Linked DNA regions of Danio rerio. The protein of the gene in region 1 interacts with the protein of each later gene in a biochemical or structural test. Links are inferred from orthologs where the notes say so. Each region holds a gene or a part of one and is shown on either strand. Other genes may lie near its edges.

The links.
Region 2: the proteins of cav1 (region 1) and ptgs2b form a complex in vitro, tested with the Homo sapiens proteins (2 studies listed by BioGRID). The link is inferred for Danio rerio from reciprocal best matches to the Homo sapiens genes CAV1 and PTGS2.

What each region holds. Positions count from the first base shown.
Region 1 is NC_133200.1:19,556,334-19,564,097, reverse strand, and holds the start of cav1 (caveolin-1), read right to left. Parts: upstream 3,871-7,764; 5' UTR 3,663-3,870; coding exon 3,627-3,662; intron 3,081-3,626; exon of another isoform or gene 3,004-3,080; coding exon 2,836-3,003; intron 1-2,835. UniProt on the Homo sapiens protein: May act as a scaffolding protein within caveolar membranes. Forms a stable heterooligomeric complex with CAV2 that targets to lipid rafts and drives caveolae formation. Mediates the recruitment of CAVIN proteins (CAVIN1/2/3/4) to the caveolae.
Region 2 is NC_133195.1:37,395,845-37,403,608, forward strand, and holds the start of ptgs2b (prostaglandin G/H synthase 2 precursor), read right to left. Parts: upstream 4,638-7,764; 5' UTR 4,601-4,637; coding exon 4,543-4,600; intron 4,406-4,542; coding exon 4,289-4,405; intron 4,197-4,288; coding exon 4,053-4,196; intron 2,874-4,052; coding exon 2,730-2,873; intron 2,406-2,729; coding exon 2,224-2,405; intron 2,122-2,223; coding exon 2,038-2,121; intron 1,915-2,037; coding exon 1,668-1,914; intron 1,078-1,667; coding exon 791-1,077; intron 673-790; coding exon 525-672; intron 148-524; coding exon 1-147. Other genes in the region: pla2g4ab (cytosolic phospholipase A2), read left to right, coding at 7,041-7,067. UniProt on the Homo sapiens protein: Dual cyclooxygenase and peroxidase in the biosynthesis pathway of prostanoids, a class of C20 oxylipins mainly derived from arachidonate ((5Z,8Z,11Z,14Z)-eicosatetraenoate, AA, C20:4(n-6)), with a particular role in the inflammatory response.

The DNA of each region.
Region 1 (7,764 bases):
AAGCTACGCATGTGTTTGTGCACACAAGAATCTTTGATGTGGATGTCAGTGGGAGTGAACTTGGACCGCGAGTGCATCACGGACCAGAAAAATGCCCCATCTGCACGTATGTATGGAGAATTTGTGTAAAACGGAGATGGGAATTCCCTCTCCTACGCAAGACCACTGCGAGCACTCAACCCCTTTTAAGGACAAAATCAAAGGACTGCGTGCACAAAATGAGTTCGACTTGTGACACCAATCCCATAATTCTAAGCATGAACAGAACAATTGCTTTTAGCGTTCTCTGGATTCAATTTTCAGTCAAATCATAAAAAGCATTCAAATGCATGTGTCCTCGGGGATGTGACTCAGTGTCATGTTGTGGTGGGAGGGGAAAAGACGATGAATAAGTGAAAACAAATAAGGGTTGAGATGAATGAAGAGGATCGTTTAAAAAAGCTATAAAGCAAATCATCAAGTGACCTTTTTTTTGTTATGAAAGGAATCGCCCCACGCCCAGAATGTTAGGTGCTCAAAAACAGGAAACTGTTAATATTTCCTTTTTAAAGAAGGTTGGTTTGACAGCTTATTGCTGCATGGGAGTTCCTACAGCAACAAGCCTGTAAAAATGAGAGCACTGTGCTATTATTGTATGCACAATTTTCACAAACACATGCCACAATCGAAGTATTTCACTTTGGTACCCTGTTGATAATTGTTTCCACCCTGTTGGAATATACAACTTAAAGGGAGAGTTCACTCAAAGTGGAAATTCTATCATTTGCTCTGCCTTCTGTACCAAACCTCTTTGAGTTTCATGTTTCTGTTGAACACAAAAGAAGTTATTTTGAAGAATGTCAGGACTGGTCGTCAGTGACTTCCATAATGTTTTTTTTGTTTTGTTTTTCTATGGGTGTCACCAGTTTCCAGCATTCTACAAAATACACTGTATAATAATGCTAGGTACCACACAATAGATTTGTATTGGAACAACATAAAAGGATTGAGTTAACATATTACTTTTTACAAATATAAGTGGATGGAACATAAAAGAATTAAGTTGTCCCAATAAAAACTTAAGCTCAGCTCATTTTAAATAAGTGTTTGTCCAAACAACAAACATCATTTTCGAGTGTATTTTATTTTGTGTTCAACTAAAAAGTCAACTAAAAATGTGGAAACACTTGAAGGTGAGTAAATGGTGAGCAAATTTTCATTTTTGTGTGAATCTGTTCAGGCTGGGAACTGGTTGGTCAAGTAATGTGGTCTACAAACCAAAACACCTAAGGGGCCATTCACACAGAATGTGCTTTTCCATCTCAGTGCATTACTTTTACATTGTTTTTTTATGTTAAAGGACTTTACAGACTTGCATGACCATTATGTTTCTGTAATGCAATTTTTACAAGTTGCACCATTCTTTAATGTCAGTTCCAAAGCAGCGGACCAATCAGAATAACGGAAAGGCATGGCAAGCATCTTTGGATGCAACGATGTGTTCTGTATGAATCACCCCTAAGGAAGCTTGAAAGTGTGTTTTACTGTAAGGCCATGTTTACACTTGGTAATACTATGTTTTGCTTGATTGAAGTAGATAAAGTTATGTTTAATAATGTTTTGCTTGATTGAAGCAGACCTCATCACATATATACCAGCCATTCTAATCTGTCTCTTTTGGCCACATTTCTTTGAGAGGCTTGTGTATTTATGCACTTCAGAACTTTCAAACCAATATTGTGAAATACACTTGCACAATTGATATACAGTATGAGGAAGACACATACAAGACGTTCGTTTCTGCTCCACAAAACTATGCCAAGCTCAGTGGATTTGCAAGCCAGGCTCAATGGAAATATGTGATTCTGGCTACGTAAAAACTACAAATCGTACCTTCCGGTATAAACCCATTTTGCTGCACTGAACCTAAATGAACACCTTTTTCTAACATTTAATAAAGAGTTAATTATCTTGTTATGTTTTTTGTAGATCTTTGCATAATTTTATTTGTCCATTAAAGCGTTTTGGTGCATCTGAAAATTCCAGTGCTCTTCTACCAGCAATCAGCTGTGAGCACTTCTCTAAAAACAATGAGAGATTTTATTTCCAATGAACCTGTGCATTGTGCTCACAGTTCAGTACATTGTGCTTTTTTATTTACATTTCAAACCAAACTTACTATTTTGGGTGGCAAAGTTTAAATTGCATTTCCACTACAAAGTACATTGATCAAATGTTTGATTAGTGAAAAGAGAGGAATAATCTACTTAAATGAAAAATGTATTTTAATGCAATCCCATTTTAATGGCTGAAAGTGCATAAGCTCAAATAGTTTTGAACATCATTGAATAGTTTATAATAGTAACAAAAATGCATTTTAATACCAGCTGTAAAGCAATTTTGCAAGTAAAATTGTACATTATAATTCCCAAGTACTTGAAGCCATCATTGTTTCTACATTCAAAATTAATCGTTTCCAGTGCCACCTTGACAAACTGACCACTGACTCACCACTTTTGTTATGAAGCCAACTTTCTATTGTGTTATAATGGGAAACTATTGGGATAAAATGGTCTTACTTAGCAGTGTGTATAAACTGCAATGCACTTTAAAGACTTTTCTGAATTATAAATTAAATATAACAATGAAGGATTTGCTTTTATCTGTCCATACAAATTATATTTGCTAATATCAAGTATGCAGTTATGAATATCACATATACTAAACAATAACCTGTGAGATTCTTATTAACGTTTCCATGCAGTTAAACAAATGTCCTCATTATTTATATTTTAAATTTAAATTGAATACCCAACAATTAAAAAAGTTGCATGAACCAGACAAAGTTTGTCCTACCTTCACCACATCGTCATTTAAATGCTTTGGGTCTCGGTTGACCAGGTCAATCTCCTTGGTGTGGACATCCTGAAGTGTCTTTTCGTTGATGCTGTCGTTATCCATTTCTTTATTGTTTGGTTTGTAAATGTTCCCCTGTTTCCTGATAAACGGCGAGTGAGCGTATTCCTGCGGTTCCAAAGAAAACAGAAAATGAAGTTCATGAGCGTGGAGTGGGAGACTCGGGCGCAACTCAGCACAGCCCTGGCATGGGATGGTTTTAAGCGGATAGAAATGAAGCACCACACCCCTCTGGAACACAGTGGCGCATCCCGCCACACGGAGGCGCCATTTTACATTATGCGCCTGTTGTGCTCCCTTTTTATTCCGCAGCAGAAAATATGAAAATGCGCTCACTGCTGAAAAATCTTGTTTTTAGTTCGTGCTTAAATTATATTACTGTAACAAAATTGTTTAGACGCAGTTTCCCTTTATAAATATGTGTATTGATAAAGTACTTCTATTTCACCTGGATTAATGAGCAGTTCATATTTTCATAGCCTAGTATTATTTTATTCAGCTGTGTTTGTGAAAGTGTTGCGAAAGGGAGGCTTGCAGTACAAATACGTGCCAGGAAAAGATAAGACTTCAAATCTGCCAATAATGTAGCAAGTGTCAACACTGCCTCCGTTTGTTGATAAACCATACAAAAGGTTTGCAAATAAGTAACTAAATTAAATTTTGCTCTGTATAAAATTAATTGTCATCAAAAGTAAAAGATTTCTGAGGTAAAATAGGGGTGTTCTTCTTACCTCTTCAGGTGTCCCGTCCTTGTATCCGCTAGTCATGCTGTCCCGTGCCTGAAGTGCGATCAGATGAGTGTGAGGAAACAAGACAATCAGTACAGAGGAAGCAGTGTGGGAGGCGTGGGGATATTGCTTTCTGTGGGGAGTTTTTTTTCCCTTAAAACAGCCCTCTCTTCTGCATGCTAAAGTCCCATCAAGCTTTTATCTGAAAGCTAGTTTATCTCTCTTGAAGACTCTCACGGCACAGAGTGGGAGTTTCTCCCAGTCACTGAGTTTGTGTGTTGAATGAATGAGGAACCCTCCATTAGCCTGCCAATCACACAGCTACGCAGCATTAGTGGTTGGGGATTTTGACGTGATTTTTTCCCAAATGGGAGGCACATCTGGGCATTAGACCAACTTTTCCTGCACGATTGCCATGTATGCTAACAGGAACATGCACTCTTTTTTTCATTAGCAGTTTTAAAATTGTGTTACAGTAATGCTAATCAAAATAAAGCAACCCTAAGCATTACACTTCATTTTTTTTTTTTGCTCGTTTAAACTACTTATTTAAAATGAGTGGAAACAACACAATTCTTGAGATTTCATTGGGACAACGTTTTTTTTTTTTTGTTCAATCCACATAAATCTGTTAAAAGTGTTAAGTTAATTTAATCAATTTGTGTTGGGACAACATGAACGAATTGTGTGGAACCCTGCATTTTTACAATGTTTGAAGGTTGTTTAGAGACAATATATATATATATATATATATATATATATATATATATATATATATATATATATATATATATATATATATATATATATATATATATATATATATATATATATAAAGCAAATCAAACTATTTTTAACCAAAGTAACCTAGTCAGACATAGTCACCCTACTATTGAAGTTTGATCTGTGCCAAAAGTCGACTGATGGTAGCTTCATTTGCCCTTATTGACTGTCATATTCACATAACATAGGTATAGGTTGATTGTGTTTTCTATGTTGTATTGTTCCTACAGAACAAGAAAAAGTTCAACAGAACATGACAATGTAACACAAAAATTGAAATAATAACTGAAAAACTAAAAACAAAAGGAAATACAAACATTAACATATAGTTATTTACCTCAACAAGTGGGCAGTTACTGTACATAAGGACAGATGTAGTTTACAAAGCAGTCTATTTAATTTTGTTACAAAAAATTGTGGTGCATATTAAAATTAAACCTTTAAATGTATGAAGCACTACTGACACTCAATGTCAGATTTTCCAATTCAGAATATCCATTAAAATATGTTTTACTATTGAACTTTTTGCACTTCGGATGTATAAACCTAAAAGGTAACTACACTGAGGTCTGTTTGCATATTAAAAGGTTCCTCGAGGCAAGACTTGCACTTCAGTTTGGAATGTTTTGAACAACACTGAAGCTGCAGGTTCTTGTTTTTCTCATATTTGCCTTACTTACGTATCATTTGCTTGACTTACCTATACATCTTTTTAGGAGGCATTTATTACACCTAACAAATGTTTGTATTTCTAGGTCAGATGCTGGCAAAGCGAGGGTTGTGACAGGCAATGCAAAATATGCAAACAACGTCGCCAGTGATAGTGGCCAAAGGTTGCTGTAGGTAAAAACTCCAGCAGCACTCTTATTATATGATAGATTTGATTCTATATTATATAACTTTACATTAATTGCAAGGTTCATCTATTTGTAGCTCATAGTAAACATTTTATTATACAAAATCAGAATGCAGAATGATTTCTTAAAAACCCAGCTGTTAAGCACTCAAAAGAACACTCAAATAGACTAAATACATACAGTTTGTTACGCTGTTTTCCTCAGGCATTTTTTCCGTGTTCAGCGAGTCACCTGAAGGGTTTATCTAATTGCACAATATGTAAAACCTTGTCAGGTTAACATTCCATATGCCAAGCATTGATCTGCACAGTCTCTCAGCAAAGAAAACAAAGTCCTTCAACTTCCAAAAATTATTTTATTTGGTGAACTGTGAGGCATTTAGTTCTGTCTTTCATAAGCTGAGCTGTGTTCAGCATGTTTGCTACATGACATCACTCAACAGGGCTAAGGAAACGGCACCTGAGCTTCTAATGTTCCATTGCAGTCAAATATTCCATTTACTCTGTGGAGCCACTAACAAAGCACAATCGATGGCAAACAGCATGTCAAATGTGGCTTTGCTAGTCAAACTAATCATCATTTGCTGTTTTATAATTTCAAAAGATGTCATTAATAGAGAAGAAAACAAGGAATGTACCTAAAAATCATAAATAGCTCACACTGGAATGCCATCAAATCTTTTAAGGGTACGTTTACAGAACTAAAAATGGACATTTTTGAGCAGTTTACCTAGAAACGGGTTTCAAAATTCTACTACTACTACAGCTCTTAAAGTGTCAATTTCAAAAATGTTTATTTGTGAAGAGAATGTCATGCATTATGTGTATTTTTATGTTCAGTCTGTACACGTATTAGTGCTGAACAACCAAAATAACAATAGCAGACAAGAGCACTGTATGCGTGCCAATACACATTGTTTCTTTACAAAGTGACACCTACTGGCCAGGCATCCATAATGCTGCCAATTAATTCATTTTTGTGAGCGTGATTGTTTTTGACAATGATGTTGTCTGTATGTGATCCTTTCCATTTTTAAAGTACAAAGTTATATAAACGTACCCTAACTCCAAACAATATAAATAAAACGCTTAAAAAACCTACAGCCCTATCGGAAGTAGTTGCATATTTTTTTTCCTTACCAGCACACCATGCGCTTATTTTAATAACATTTATCATGCAGTAGCACAATATATCATCCTTAAAGAATAAATCTCAAACATTACATTAAAAGTATTGCATTATATATAACATAAAAGCTTAATTAGACTTACATAACAGTACTGAAAAAAGCATGTCTGCATAGGTGCCACCCATAACAAAGTTGACATGTCAATAGCTACAACGGAATGAGAGACAAGTTCTTTCTCTTCTCTGTGCTTCAGAAGTCAAGGATAAACGTTCCTTCAGCTAGTAACTCTCAAAAGGGAGGGCAAAAGAGTGTGACAGAAAGATTCTGCAATACTTCTATGCGGAGTTAGATTTGCTCAGTCTTGATGTTGATGGAGGACAAGCACCGTCCAATGCTGAAGAAGAAAGGCCCTATAAACATGTCCATCAAGCTGGTCCAGATCACGTGGATGGAGGGCAGTGTCATCATGCAGCCCTGGATCACTGGCATCACCACCCTGTGGATAAAAAATAGCTCATCATTAAATGTGCTGATGACTTATAGTCAGATCAAGGTGAATGTGTTCATCTCTTTGTTCTAGGTTAAAAATGGACCCTGGAGAATTAACCTTCATATCCAGTGGTTCAACTGAATCATCAGCTTTGCTATTGTTAACATTAAAGCCATATGTGAGATCTGTCAGTGAGCATCACTGGACACTGGTCAATAAGGAGGTGAGGTGAGAGAAATATAATGTGTTTTCATTATCTACAGCATGTGTCTAAATGCTTTTTAAACTTACTATTTATAAGATTAAAGACCCTTTTTGTACATTCAGCAACTGTATTTATACATAAACCTGTTTTATAACTAACTGGATTAATTCTGACCAATTGATTGATGCTTTACCTGTAAAAGACTCATGGCCTGTGTTGTCGTTGGTTGCTTGTGTGTTGTTAAGAGTCTGTGTGGTTTTGCACTATGCCTAAGTGCATAGATATTTACATTGGACGTCGCCTACATACGTCGCCTTGTTGTCTATAGGAAAAAAAGTGTGTCAATAGAGCTGCCATTTTAGTACAGGGTAGTACTCCTTTGAAATGAATATGGGACCAAGGTGCAGTGGAGGACTGGCCATCCAGAGCCAGAGATACACACACACACACACGCATATATATATATATATATATATATATATATATATATATATATATATATATATATATATATATATATATATATATATATATATAAAGCGACAAAGAGCATGTGTGTGCGTGCATGGAGATGTATTATCCTCCCTCCCTGTTAAATTTGATCTAATACATGTCTTAAAATACACCCCTTCTCCTGCTATCACATCTCATTCTAACAGACGAAGTGATTTGTTTGT
Region 2 (7,764 bases), on another chromosome or scaffold:
TAAGGGAGTAGGGCGCACCCATCTCAACCATGGTCTCCCCAAAGATGGCGTTGGACCTGGGCTTTTCAACCAGCAAACCAGCATAAAGCTCCACAGCATCCACATCTCCGTACATCTCTTCAAGTTCAGCAGCCATTTCTTTTTCTCCTAAAACATAAAGCAAGCTCAGTCAGCTCAAGGTGTCTACTGAAACATCACTGCTTTTACAGTATTTGCAGGGAATGCTTTTAAAAACGCAGATGGGGTTAGGTAAAGTTTGTGCGTATGTTTCATAAGCCATATCTCACGAGGAAACTGAACTGTTTTACGCATCGTTAAGTTAAAAATATTATTTTTGAAAGGACATGTGCCCCCAAAAATTCAACTGTCATTGGTGGACTAAGAAAATAGTACTAACTGTACGAATGAGATTGTACAAATTTAATGAGAATTATCCACTAAATCAAAAAGTTGCATTGAAATTTATTGTGTATTTGTATGTGCACAAATATAATTCCTCATCAGTGGATACTAGTAATGCTCACCTGTCATTTCTTCAAAGGATCTGTATGGCTTCATGTTGAAGCGTTTCCTGTAAGCATTGATTGATTGGTAGCGCATTTGCCTGCTGTTTTCAATCGACTTAATGGCCACCCTTAACACTGCTGGTGCTACATTACGCCCTCCAGCTACCTGAAGTCAAAGAGATTTAAGATTCATTAAACATGGGTGGTTCCACCTTGCAACGGTATCTACAACAGGCTAATCCAAAACAGGGTATATTTTTAATCTTAGAATTATAAACACTTACCCTTCCGGCTATCTGTTTGTTGAAGGACTCAACCAAGCTGTTGACGCCATAATCTGTCAGGATAGAAGTGTTGAAGAGAAACTGCTGATAATTGTAGACTTCATCCTGGATGTGAAAATCATCAGGCATGAGGGGGTGCCAATGGTAAAGTGTGTTGAACTCAGAGGAGATCCTGTTCTGGTATTGGAAACGCTCATTGAAGAGTAGTTCGGGATCAAACTTGAGCTTAAAATAGTATCCACTAAGGTGCTGGACGTAATCTTCGATCACGATCTTAATAGTCTCACCTGTTGATAAGGAAAACAGACCAAACGTTAGCCACTCACTTTACATTTTTAACCATGTTGGGATATTTTTGTTCATTTGTGATGAGAGCCAGAGAGAAATTTGCAGACATTGTTAGCCATTACTGCTCATAATTGAATTTATTGACACTTATTATTTGTAAACAAATCTGCAGACATATGCAGAATGCCTATGAGGTTTTAGTAACTTTAAAAAAATAGTAATATTTATTTTATTTTTTAAGGTTTACAGTGCAAATTCTATAAAAACCACTTGTTTGGTAAATAAAGTTAGTCTCTCATATATTATAAAACTACCCTATAAATTGTTTTGTACATAAACCATATAAAAATTGGTGTATTTTCAATAATATTAATGAAACGAATATAAAAACTGAATAAATCTATATTTACGCACATTTCTATATTGTAAGTAAATATATGCATGTATGTATATATGCATGCATGTATGTATGTATGTATGTATATATATATATACACTCAATAATGGCCAAAAAAATCTGAGGAAATCTGCAGATTCCTTTTGAGCCTACTTGTGCCAATCTAAATGTCCTTTTCTGCAGGACACTCACCAATAAGGATGAGCCTTGAGGTCTGAAACAGCCTCTCATCATCCCAGTCAGGATGCTCCTGCTTTAGTATGTCGCACACTCGGTTATGTTCACGCAGCCAGATGGTGGCGTACATCATAAGTCCGGGAACCAGCCCAAAGGCCTCATGACCCACAGCAAATCGACGAGATTCAGGTACATGAGGAGGGTAATGCATGTCTACTTGAACCTCACTGACTGTTGGAGGGTAAACCTCACCATCCAGAATCTAATTAAAGCAAGAACATGAGTTTAGTCAAATGCAAAACACAAGAGTAAAAAAAAGTGAGTAACAAAGCTATATGAGGATGAGATTTAATGAGATTAATTTTGGGTTAGAGATATTCCATACCTGATATCTCAACTTGCCATCCTTGAAAAGTCTCAACTTGTGTTGTCGATCAAGGTTTTGTCCATATATATGAGCTAAATCAACCTAAAAGACATAAGTAAAGTCAGTGATATACTAAACTTCATGATACAGATAGTCATAAACATGTTTATGGCATATAGAATGTCACATCTATCAAATACGCACCCCATGGTTCAGGGCTGTTGTGAAAGCTGGACCTTTCTTCATGTCAGATTTGAAGAACTGGTGAGTAAAATGTTGGGCGAAGAAAGCGAACATAAGATTGGTGCGTTGAGGATCTGGGATGAACTTCCTCCTAAGAAGCAGTTTCTCTGCCAGCATCTTCACGTCTGGCAGCTCTTTCTTACCTATCAAAACAGGGGAATTCATGAGAAACAGAGCCTACTTCCATCCTCATGTCTGAGTTTATACTCCAACCCAAACATGAAACACTATCTACAGGTACTGTAAGTGCAAAAACTATTTATGCAATCATTTATTCTCTCTACAGTGTCTAAAACTTTTTAGCCTCTATGACTCATTACTGTCACATCTTATCTTTCTTTTAATGAGTTGCTTATCCACACACCCAAGGCTCAAGTGAGCTATTTGTGACCTCAAGCTTCCTGTCCAGTTGTAAATGTGAATGCTAAGAAATGTGAGAAAACAGGTCTGAGGAGAAAGAGGCTCACCTGCGACTCCCATTGGCGTTGGGCAATCACGCGGGACAGGAGGTAATGTGCGAGTATAGTAGGAGAGATTAGAGTAGGCTTCCCAGCTTTTGTAACCATAGTCAGCATTGAATGTAGGAGGACTATCGATCAGATGGGCACGTGCTGGAAAAAAATATTATATTCAGTCATATTTTTAAGTATGCAACATATTTGTAATGTACATTAGACATGATTAAGACATGTTTAGTTAACGCAGGGTGCCCAAACTTTTTCATGTGAAGGACTAAAAACCTAACTTGATTGAGGGTGGTGGGCCGAACGTAAATATATAAAAGTTTTTTAAAGTTGCCACTGGTAATTTCCTAATTTATTTCAAATTTTAAAATAACTAGAAAACATTGCTTCATATTAACTAATGCAGTATATTTTTTACATTTTATAGTGGACTTATTACAGTAAAAAAAACAAAAAAACAATCCAATTTATAACAGTATGCAGTTAAACTAGTCAACCTGCACCTGTTTTTGCCTTGATTTGCTTGCCAATGTCTTCTGCATTATCCGTTGAGTAACAACATTTTGTATTTTATTTGTAAGGTTTCTATGGGCCAACTTTGACCCGCAGGCCCTAGTTTGGACATCTCTTAGTTAAACGGATAGGTAAAAGGATAATTCACCCCAAAATTTTATCTTATTAAATATTTAAAACACACTCAAGTGGTTCCAAACCTTTATGAGTTTCTTTCTTAACACAAAAAAAGATACTTTTAAGAAAGCTGAAGTCTGACATCCACATTCAGAAATAAAAGTACGAGAGCTATCATTGGAGTGGTACCTTTTCAAAAGGTACATATTTGTACTTACAGGGCATATATATGTACTGCAAAGGTATATATTAATACCTTAACATTTCAAGAGGTACACTTTTGCACTTTTTAGGTACTAATATGTACCCTCAAGGTATTAATAAGAACTCTTTAAAGTACAAATATGTACCTTTCGAAAAGGTACCCACCCCAGTGACAGCTCTCGTACCTTTTTTTCTGAGAGTGCATAGAAGGAAAAACAATTAATATTTGTTTTTTCCTTACCAAGGAAAATAACCAATATAGAAGTCATTGGTTCCAGGTTTCAATCCTCTTTTGCATTTAACAAAAGATAAAAAACTCATAAATGTTTGAAACAAGAAAAGAATGAGCAAATGATAACAAAATGTTAATTTATGGCTGAATTATCCTTTAATGATTTAATCATAAAAAATATAATAATATTTTAAATTCTCATTAATAATATGAATTAAAAGACGTTTCTTACAGGAAAAGAGGGACTGCTTTATACTTACATGTCAGCACGTATCGCATTATGCCGTTTCTCAGAAACGACACGTTGTTGATAATATTCCACAAGCTTTTGAAGTGTGTGAGAATGTAATGCACAGTGTTGGGAGAAGGCTTCAGAGAGACTTTCACCCATGTGAGAAACTCGGCTGTGAAAAAATAAAACAGAGTAAAAGTTAGAGCCAAAAGCAGAAATGGGCAGAGAAACTTCCTCTATATGTTTGTGGAGCTTCTCACTTACGTGTTGTGCAGTTTTGACCGTAATATCCAGTCCGTGTACAGTCACATTCATACGCGTCGGAGCCCATTTCCGTACAGACACCTCGATTCTGACAGGGATGGGAGCAACAAGGGTTCGCTGCACCACAAAAATAAATAAATAAGTAAATACATCAGTTTTATAATATGCCAACAACAATGATATAACATATAGTTCATAAAATATAACAGGCTAGATATAAATATGAAAGAAAAACAAGAAATTAGTAGGCTTACCTCCTGTGCAAACCACGAAGCCCAGAAGCAAAAAAATAAATAATACCGAACTTTTCATTCCAGTGGCGTGTTTGATGTCTCGAGTCGTACCTCGCCAGTTCAGAGTATTGAATCAACTTCCGAGTGCGAGAGGAGCCGTTTTATGAGGAGCCGATGACGCAATGACTGAATGAATTGGGACGTGACTCACGCACTGCAAGAGGATACAATGATATAATCGTTTATTTGGTATGGCGTAGGCTACCTGCTCAGTGTCATCATCACAAATCTCGAATACTGCATATACTTTATTTATGCCTTATAACCTTAAAATTGCAACCATTTTGCCATATAGGCTGCTACTGTACTATATCAAAACGGCTTCTAATCAATAGCACAATAATAATAATAATAATAATAATAATAAAATGGTAATAAACAATAACAATATTTTGATACATCATCTGAGTGATCAGATTTTATTGGTCGATATGAGGCTCATTTCCGCAGATTTTTCATATTATTAAAAAATATATTTAAAATATAAGCATTTTTTCAATTCCTGAAATTAAATTTGGATTCATCATTTTTTTAGGGGCACCTCAGAAAATAACTTTAAAAAATAAAAGTCTAATTTAAATCAAAAGAAAATTTAAAATAAAAAAGGTGGGCTAATAACAAAATCTACTATTGCATGATTAATAGACTATAATGCGATTTAATCGTAATTAGACCTATAGATAAACTAATTACATTTACTAAAACAATTATAATAAAAAATACACAGGCCTACAATACAATGAGAAATGCAATTACTAAAAATAAATTTTTAAAACGAAAACAGTAAGCACATTTTGCATTTATTTAACAACGGCATATGCTTTTAAACAACCTTTTCAAATGTATTTATAATTCTTAATCTTGAACATCCTTATGCTGCCACTATTTGTTGATGTTCGTATCGAATGTAATAAAACTGCCACCTTGTGGCAGAAATGAATGATTTTTTGAACTATGATTTTTTCCTCATCAGCTCCGTTACCACTGAAAAATTTAGCATTTTAGCAATTTAGCAAAAATTTGCATGAAATTTAGCCAACTATTCAGTTTTCCCATCACAAAGTCATTCAATTGCATACATTTTTAGTCTTTAAATGTTAATGTTCAATACTTAAAGTTAATAGCAAATTTCCTGTAGATGTACTTTTAATATGCAGCCAATATGAAAAGCAGGATGCATTAAGATATGCGGGACGACTCGAGGATGACACTTCAGGAGAGCAGTTTTAGTGCCTCCTCTTCACTTGAAGATACTGCACTCTCTGCATTGAAGGACTACTACGAATGGTTTTTCTCTATCTTTCTCTGGATTTCTGGCTTGACGTGCACTCCGGCCCAGGGTAAGATAAATATGGATTATTCAGTTTGTTAGTTGTTTTACTGCAGGTAAACGGAGTTCATAACATCCTAATGTCTTGTCGGAATAGCGGTGCTAAACTCAGGGAAACGTCGAATATGCATGCGGGTAGTTAAAAAAAAGCCTAACTTTTCCATTTGACTCAGAATATGCTGTTTAAATGTCTAAAGAAGATCTCTGATCATCTGGGACTTTCAAAGGTAGATTACAAAACTTCGACACAATATCATGATGACTGGCCATTTAACGGGACTGCTGCTGTAACGCGCGCCTGGAACTTGAGCATTTGAGGATTTCTGTTAGTCTACTTTGAGGCATATAATCTGCGAGATAAGTGGTAGTAATTTTTGCGTCACAAAATTTGTACAAATAGTGGCCTACGTCACAAACAATGTATATGCTAAAAAGTGCAAAATATAGGCCTGATGCGTGTTATAGTGCGGAGGTTTCATTTCTCTTCCTCTGTCATCATCACGCACTTTTATTCTGCTGTGAAGTGAACTTGTTCTCGCTCGGTGCTTTTGATCAGGCGACATGACATACTGTTATAAAATGGAACTAATGCATTAGACTATGCATTAATGCAACAAAGTTCAATGCTGACTTTTATGCTAACGTTTTGTTTCTATTGTTATTTGTGTATATGGACAGTTGGGGATGGAAGGTAGGCTTTCACAATTTCTTCAACTGATTGCACACTTCCCATTTCATCTTTCAGTTCATTTGTATGGCCTACCACTGCTCCTTTCTCTCATAGTCTACATGCACTGCTTCAAATATTGTGCATTTGGTTTATTGCAAGGAAATTAAGGTATATTTTAGAATGCTATTTTTGTTCACTACAGTGTGTTATGCTAGGATAAAAGTGTGTAACATAAGTGTAAAATCTTTGTGTAAATAGGGTTGCAGCTTCATTCAAATGAAGAAAACCCATGTCATTTACAAAAGGTTACTTTTATTTTATTAATTATTACTTAACTTTTTTTCTCTCAGTGTGTTTAGCTGTCCAGTAACATCACTAGGACTTCTCTGGGAAGCTCTTTGAAAAGCTCTTGAGTTGGGATTATCAGCCTGTTTTGTCTAATTTAGCAGCGAAGCCACCATGTCAACTGCAGATCATCACATCTTTGTAAGTAGGACTTTGTAAGTGGCTTTCAATATCCAATTAGCCTAAGCCAAAAGATGAGATAGCTTGAAGGCAATATTTTGCTTCCAAAAAATCTGTGTGTACTTATTTCAAGTTTACACCAGGCATATAGATGTTCATCATTGCTGATGTCATGGTCACTTCTTGTCTGATGCACATATAGGCTGGTTGGCCAGTGCTGGCTTATAAGCAGGGCTAGAATCTGCAAACTTTTTTTTGTTGTTGTTGTCATTTTTGCACTGAATTAAAAAAAAAAAAATCTGCTGATTTATGTGGAATGATTCTGAGAGTATAATAGAGTATATTATTAAGTAAACCTATAACAAATGCTTATAAGGTTTAAAACACAAATCCATTTAACTCCCTTTTTAGTAAAACAAAGCTAGTCTCTTGCATAATCTACTACTTCACAAACAATATTGTACACAATTCCTGAACATTTGCATATTACTCAATAATAAAATTATCAAAAAAAACTGCTTAAAATAATTCTTAAACACATTTGATTAAGTAAATAAATAGATGGGCTCAAGAATCTGCAGAAATCTTTTGAGTTTTCTGTGGGTGCAAATTCTGCTTGTGCGTACTTATCAATAAAGTGCTAAATATCACCTATAATTTCATTTTGTATGCCATTTAATGAATTTTACTAATGTGAAGTCTCGGAGATATTCAATGC